2 linked regions of the Ovis aries genome follow. The protein of the gene in region 1 purifies or fractionates together with the protein of each later gene. This does not show direct contact. Links are inferred from orthologs where the notes say so. Each region holds a gene or a part of one and is shown in the gene's direction. Other genes may lie near its edges.

Region 1 (3,904 bases):
CCTATAGTCAGCATCCTTTTCAACATCTCTCAATGGGATGGTAGACAGACACAAAAAAAGTCAAAATTGCATAAATATTATAAGCATATTGTGTCTCTTTTCTCATTCTCCTCACTCTAATTAATTGAAGTCAGATAGTACAAGCTTTACGGACCTCTTGTCTGGTTCTCCATACCCTTTTTTTCTTCTTCCATTCTTGACTTTGTTCCCGGGTAGTAAAACCCTTCCTCAAAGTTCAGCCTTAGCGCACAGAGAATGGACTAAGTGTTCTGTGGAGGGGAGTTAACAAAGGAATAAGGATTAGCTCATGTTAATTTTCACAAATTTTATTTAAAATAGCTGCCTATTTCTACGTGTTTGCCTCACTGATGAGAGGAAAATATATCTGGACCTCCTGATTCCTGAATCCTCCTCTTGCACGGGCTCTGATCCATGGTAGGCGATTCTCAACGTTTGAGTGGAGTCCATCAAAGGATTCGAAAGCGCATCTCGGGGCGGAAGCAAAGGAGCTAGAAGTCTGGTGCCCGAGAGATCTGCAGGCCAGGGCACGTTGAGAAGACCTAGCAGTCTCTCCTAGCAGTCTCCCAAGCAAGTTTCGTTTTTTTCGCACCTACTTATGCATCCCTTGCATCTGCCCGTCTGCGCTTCCTCATCCCATCTCCCTGCAGAAGTAGAAGCCTGGGGATATGAGGAATGCGCACCACCCACAGGACCGCGACACCGTGCCTCTAAACCACAGCGTCTGAGAAGCACGCATTGGTCCTTCCGACACCCCCACTTGGTCTGCCTGAGGATCTTGGCTTAAAGAGGAGACAAGACGCCCCCGCGCACCCCTTTGCCCTGTCGCGTCCTCTTCCTCCCAAGGAAAACAGCCGTGGTTCACTGGGACGCTTTTCAAGATCCCGCTAGCCCCAGAGCTCCGGGAAGATTCAGAGAGAAAGCTCGCGGGGACATTCGTCCGCATCCTTTTGTAGTCTGCCAGCCCTTTTACCCTGGAGCCTGGCCCTCCGCGGGCGGCGCGCACCGCACGGAAGGGCGCATCTTCGCCTAGTGGCTCCGGAGGCGGAGACGCGCTGGGCGCGCTCGAGAGCGAGGAGCGAAAAGTTGTGCGCCCACTTGGTAGCGGGAGAGAACGGAGGAGCGAGCGCGCCAGAGCGCCGGTGGGGGGAGGAAGGGAGGGGGCGGGGAGGGGGCCCGCTTACATGAATTTCCAAGTGGTAGACCTGCCTCTGCGCTCTGCCCAATGAGATCCGTCAGGGGAGGCACCCGACTCACTTTTCCACATCACTTCACAGTTACATTTGGCAGGCAGGCGGGCTTGCACGCCGGAGCGCTCAGCCCAGAATTAGTGGATCTATTTGGAATCTCCCTGCTTCCCCGGAGCTCATCTGCTGTCGCCGGCTCGTGCACGGACGGTAGCGTCCACCCAGCGAAGCTGCACTTTGGGCTGCGGAGACTCAGAGCCCGGCGCGCCCGCCCCGCGTCTCAGCACCAAGCCCCGCCGCTCCGAGAGGCATGAACGCGATCCGGAGGCGTCTGCCCAGCGCGCGGGGACCGCTCGCTGTTCACCGCCCTCGGGAGCAGACCTCGAACCCCTCCAGCCATTAGTGAACCAAGAGGCTTGAAATTCGCCCGCGCGGAGCCCCTCAAGAGTGAGTGATCCTCCACCCAAACCCCTCGTTTTAATCCATGCCCCGAGGACCCAGAAGGGACCTTTTTTTTTTTTTTTTTTTTAAGGAATACCCCTGCCCATTCCGGCACCCTGCGCGCCTCCTTCCATTCGAATGGTGCATGTGGGTTCGCAGCCCCAGTGTGGGGCTGAGCTAAATCTTCTTTCCTGCTATGCGCAGCTGATGGGATCACCTCAGGGTTTTTTACCTGACCATTTTTGCAACCTGCTCTGACAGCAGATCCCGGGGAGAAGCAAGCAGGCTGTGCCCCTCCGGCTTTCCTGCCGGGTTCCCTTTCTTGCGGTCGCCTGGCGATTTCGCCGCCTCGCGACATAGGCAGGCGCCGCTGCAGCCGCGCGCCTTCACTGCGGGGTCCGTGCGGTGAATGGGAAGCACCCGCCGCCGGCTGAAAGGCAAGTGCCAGCCGGAGCAGAAAGGAGGCGAAGGGGAGCGGGGTGGTGGTGGTGAGGGTGCCCTCTGGCTGATTTGCCGCACCACCCCAATCCCGAGGAGACGGAGGGCGACCCCCGCAGTGGGGCAGCGGGCCACGACTCAGCCGTGAGAACCCCAGCCCACGGCTTTCCCACAAGTGGCTCCTCCGGCCCCGGGAAGCGCGGTGCGGGTTCCAAACTTGCCGGGCTCCCTAGCGGCCCCGCGGCTCTGTGGACGCCGAGATACAGCCCTGCATCCAGGCAAGACACCCAAGCAGGGTTCTCTCCGAGCCCGCCAGACTGTGCTCGCAGAGGCCTCCTGAGCTGAGCCGGGGACTCCCTCGGACTCCCTCTCCTAGCTCCGCCAGAGCCCGGAGCTGCGCTTTCTGACAGCTCACTCCTCCCCATCCGCGAATCCTTGGGGGGTGGGGAGGGAGGGCAGGCTGCGCCCCTCGCGGGACCTGAGGAAAAGCGGATTCTTGCCCGGGTTCTGGCAGCGCGTAACAGGTTCATAAGGGACTTGATCCCCGTTCTCTCAGGCTCCAGCCAAGCCTGGGAGCCAGTGAAAATCTGCCGCCGCCAACGAGGATGCCAACAGGTATCCACAGTTTCCTGTGCCTCTCCCTCTCCGCAAGCCCAGACCCTTCCCCATCCAATCTGGCAGAAACCTCAAAGTTTCGTGATCCCGAGACCCTTCCCCGCAGGCACAGAGCCGGCGGCACGTCCGGGACGAGCCGTTTGTCTCCGCGAGCCGAGATGGCAGCAGTTTGGTTGAGCTGCTACATGTAAGAAATCAAACAATATTAATTGTTTATTGTTGCGAACGCGCATTAGTCAGTGATGGAAAACCACCCTGGCAGCTGCTCACTTCAGCTCCAGTTAAAGGATAGAGCTGATAATTAGGCAAGGGAGAAAGGGTCCTTTCAACTTTACCACCGTTTCCTGAAGATTCCACAGAGTTGCCTCTTTAGAGGCAAGATTCGACCATGCCCTTAGCGCGCCAGAGCTGCTCAGCGGATCAGCCGGCTTTCTTTCCTTGGCTTCACAGTATCTGTTGGCCGAGAATGGGAACCGGGACGCAGGAGAAGGCGCACTGGCCCTGCCCTCTCGAATGGGTACCACCGCGAAACTGATCCGAGGCACGGGGTAGGGGGGCGGCTGGGGCCCCTAGGAAGCGCCGGCCCTCTTTACAGCACTCCTGACAGCCATCTCAGTGGTTAACAACCCTCCCTAGGCTGTCACCTCCGGCTTCATTATAGGAGCTTTTCAACTGGAAAACTATGTGCTGGAAGGAGATATTTATGTAAGATTCGAGAGTGGGATTTTCCATCCATTCAACCTGGCCGCTGTACCTCACTGCATGCAAAATGAGCCCTGTCGTTCATGGCAAACACAACTGAAATTTCTGCCTGGCTTTTGCTTTTCATCAGTCGTGTCCGGTTTTCCAGGGGTTTTATCGTGTGTGTGTGTGTGTGTGTGTGTGTGTGTGTGTGTGTGTAAAGAGATTCTTTTAACCAGGAGGACTTTAGAGGATGTTCTCTGAGGGTTACTTTTTTTTTTTTAATCCCTCAAAGGGAGTTCTCCATAATCATCCTGTCCAGACATGTTTTTCCACTTCCCTGAGCTCTGTGGCTGAAAGAAATTCTAGGGCTCTCCCTCTTATTAAATAATAATACTACTAATAATATTCTGTAAATCTGCTTCAGCAGTTTGGAAGCCCCCCAATCACATAGTCATTTCATGCTGGAGCAGTCTCAGGATTTTAAATCATCTTTGATAAATAAATAAATATATATTATATAT
Region 2 (3,904 bases), on another chromosome or scaffold:
AAAATATAATTAAGATAGGGGGAAAATTGAATTTTTAAAGAACATGTTGGCCCTGAAGCATTAGCTATACCTAAAACTGCACAAGCTACTCCACAATTGAATGAGAGGGTTTCCTGCCGTACCTATGTATAAAGACCTATTGTTTGCATGCATTAATTACAAAGATAAAAGCCTCAAGATAACTTTCACTGTTGCTTTTTGTACTCTCTCCATTGTTTTGGAGGAAAAATAAGCATCCAACAATAGACTAGAGAAAGTGAATCGATCATAATTGTTTCAGCTTTGACAAACACCAAACCTGCTGATTACAATGGAGACATTTCCAAGGGAAAACAAGACCCAACTTCAGCCTATTCAAACGAATTAAAAAATTTTTTTGAAGAATAGAAAATGAGTTTTAAAAAATTAGAAGCTGCTTAATGGATAGCTCTTTCCATGAACAACGAACTTGGATTTCTCAAAGAAGTAATACCCTAGAAATAAACTTAGAATGAAAGAAAAATCCACCACCACCCCCAATATACTGATACTTAGTAGCAAAGTGGAACCAGTTAAAAATGGAAACTGTAAGAATTAACCTAATTGGCAGGGCTGTGGAGCTAGTCCATGTCTATCAGTCATTTGTTCAGTTAGGGACTCCTAAGGACTTGTTGAATTGCGGGCTAGGCGCCTATCCTAACGAGAGTTCGCAGCCTTCACGAGCGGGGAAAGCCGGCGGCTCGGCCGGGTGCTTCATTCCCAGATTCAAGATGAACAGCCGGTAGGGATGCGAGATCCACGACCTGGACCGTGGGGGGCTCTGAGGTGATGTGCGGCTTGGCTGCGAGCCAAGTCCTGCAGAGAGCTTGGGGCCCAGACTGCAACGGCAGCGGAAGCACGAACGCGCCGGGGTCCCCTGACCGGGAGCAGGGCGGCGGCGGCGTCCGGCAGAGTCCAGAGCGGGTGGGCCCAGACCTCAGCTCCGGCATTGCCGCCGCCACCTCGGCCCTGAACTTTCACCCCCCAGGGACGTGTGCCGCCTGCCCCGCAGGGCCGGGGTCCCGATGCCGCCTCCCGCCGGTAGCCGGCAGCGCGCAGCCAGCCTCGCATCTGTTCTCATGGCCCGGGGCATGCGCGAGGCCGGGGCGTCGGGCTCGGGACAGTGGAGAATACCGGTGTCGCCCTCCCTCCAGCCCACCCCGGCTCGCGGAGACCCGCGCCTCCCTGACTCGGACTACCGCGCCCTGGCGGGCCGCCCTCCAGTCCCGCGCGGCGGGGCAGCGCCGGCCTCAACCTGGGAGAGCGCCCGCAGAGCGCGCGGGCGCCCCGCCCCTGCCCCGGGCTGGCGGACCGCGGCGGCGGCGGCGGCGGCGGCGGGCGGCTCCGCGGCGCGGGGACTACTTTCCGCCGCCCGCCCGCGCCCCGCCCCTTGTCCCCGCGCGGCGGAACGCTCCGCGCTGCGCCGCTGGCGGCAGGATACAGTGAATCCTGCGCGACTTATAAGAGCTCCTTGTGCGGCGCCATTTTAAGCCTCTCGGTCTGTGGCAGCCGCGCTAGCCCGGCCCCGGGAGCGAAGAGAGAGGGGAGGCGGAGACGGAGCAAGGTCCGAGGAGCAGCTCCGGTCCCCGTCGAGCCGCCAACGCAGGCCGAGGACGGTCGGACTCCCGCTGCGGGAGGAGCCTGTTCCCCTGAGGTGCTTGGGCGCTCCTTTCCTTACCCGTCTGGGGCTGCTCCCCTTCCCGCTTCGGAGCCAAACTTCGTCGCGGGCGCGCGGTCCCGGCGGCGGCTGGGAGCCGGACCCGGCGCAGCCCGAGGCCCCGGGGTGGGGAGCGGGGAGGGGCGTGTGGGCTGGGGGCGCCGGGGAGGCGGCAGAGGCGGACCGCGCCCGGGGGGCTGAGGGCGGCGGCCGGGCCCGGTTCCGGTCGCGCGGCTCCTTCGGGAGCCCCGGGGGTGCCGCTTTCGGGGAGGGGGCGCCGCGAGGGCGCGTCCGGGAGGTCGGGTGGCCAGCGGGGTGGGCGGGTGGGTGGAGGGGGCTGTGGTTTCCGTCCCGGGCTCAGGCCGCGGCTGAGTTTGGGGGAGGGACCCTGCGCCTCGGGATGCGCCGGGGCCGGGGTGGGGGGCGGGGTGGGGACGGGGGACTCCGCCTTCCCGGCCTCCGCGGGGAGTTGGGGTGCGGGCGCTGGGCCTGGGACGCCACGTGAGGTCCTATCTTTCGTGCTTAAGGACGAATTTTTTCGAGGGTTAATAAGAGGTTAGTGATTTTTAATGGCCTGCCGGTGTGAGTACGCTCGTTTAAATCGGAGCAACTTTAAACCTTAGAGGATCCAAACTGTTAGTGCAGACGGTGTGATGCGCCAGGAGGATTTGCACAGATAAAAATCCCTATCTTGCACCTACATTTTTTTGTACGGTGCAGGTGAGTGAAAGCGGGCGTGCTAGGGAGGTCCTGGGAAAAATAAGGGCGAGGGCGTCTGGCTTACTGTCTCTTAGCAAGTGACCCACAGGACTCAGATTGCGACTGCTTCGAGAATTGTGTGTTCCTGGAGATTCTTTATTCAAATAGTTTCACGGCAACTAAACTTGATTTTGAGAGCGCTTTCCAGCGGGGTGAATTTTCCCCTCGCTACGAAATGGCCCGCAGGAAATTCAAGCTTTGCAACTTCGTTCCGTGTTTTGTCTGGAGAGAGGACTTGGAACTGAGACTTTCAAAGTTCGCTTTTCACAGCCTCCTTCTGAGTCTACTAAACTTGAAAGCTTTGCCAGTCGGGTGTAGTTGTTTGCTTCGTTTTCTTTTCGGTGGTGGAGGGAGCATTGTCTCCTACTTTGTATCTTCCAGACATCTGTGGTCTCCCCCCACCCCCACTCCGGGTTTGTGAGTGGTGAATGAAGGGAGACTGGTCTGCTGGTATGCAGAGGTCGGCAAAAGGAAATCGAGGAGTGGTTTTAGTGAAACGAGAGCTTTGTGTCGTGAATAGTGGTGGCTTAGACTAGACAGCAGCTTGAAGAGACGGCTCGCCTTTGATAAAGTCTGGGCTGCTGTTTTTCAGATGGCTAAGTTGTAAGTATTTTGTCTGGAACTTGGGAAGCCGTTTCATTCTGTCTCTTGGTGTACATTCAGTACCTTCGGCTATCTTCCTGTTAACGTGTTTCCTTAAGAGATACTGGACATAGCTTGACTCTTTTGTTTGTTAATGTTTCTGTTTAATATCTGCTTAGATTAGTGACAAACTTGTTTGGGAGGCATTTTTTTCGGTCTGAACTAAGGCGGCTGCTACATTTATTTTATTTTTACATTCAAGCGCACGAACCTCTTGAGTTTAAAAAAAGGTGCCATTAATGTTTGCGAATATCTTTTCACGAAATTTGATTAATTTGCGTCCAGTATTCATTACTTTGACCTAGTCTTTGTTCTGAAGGCCATGTACAAGGCCCTAAAGTGATTGCAACAGTAACTTGAAAAACTTCCAGGAGCCTATTCTATAGGATTAAAGGAATGCTGAGGCTATTCAAGTCTGAAGTCCTTGAGGGGGAAATTAAAAAACTGTGCTACAAAGTTTAGTATAGCATGTAACTTAGAGTCCTTGAGGAGTTCTAGGCTTGAGATTTTCCCAGAAGCTAGAGCAGCCATTTAAAATTGCTTTCAAGAAAAACCAAATTTTAAAAGGTGACTTAAAAAAAGTAAAACATTTAGTAGTGTTCAAGTGTCAGTGTCCAGCATTTTTCTTTCGAAACATATCCTTTACCAAGATAATCGTGTAGATGATTATGTAGATTCCAATATTAAAACTGAAATCAGATTGAGCTTCTTACTGTTGCTAATGATAAATGGAATAAAATTATCCATATAAATGAAGTTGTATATTTTTCTTTTCATACACACTTCCCTCCTCCACTCCCCAAATAGGAAGAGAAAACTTGAAGTAGG

What was found.
Region 2: the proteins of CDH8 (region 1) and CTNNB1 purify together in Homo sapiens (co-immunoprecipitation; 3 studies listed by BioGRID and IntAct, counting the BioPlex papers as one, with this or other methods). This does not show direct contact. The link is inferred for Ovis aries from reciprocal best matches to the Homo sapiens genes CDH8 and CTNNB1.

What each region holds. Positions count from the first base shown.
Region 1 is NC_056067.1:29,342,959-29,346,862, reverse strand, and holds the start of CDH8 (cadherin-8), read left to right. Parts: upstream 1-1,291; 5' UTR 1,292-1,652; intron 1,653-3,904. UniProt on the Homo sapiens protein: Cadherins are calcium-dependent cell adhesion proteins. They preferentially interact with themselves in a homophilic manner in connecting cells; cadherins may thus contribute to the sorting of heterogeneous cell types.
Region 2 is NC_056072.1:13,821,374-13,825,277, forward strand, and holds the start of CTNNB1 (catenin beta-1), read left to right. Parts: upstream 1-1,506; 5' UTR 1,507-1,672; intron 1,673-2,140; exon of another isoform or gene 2,141-2,230; intron 2,231-3,904. UniProt on the Homo sapiens protein: Key downstream component of the canonical Wnt signaling pathway.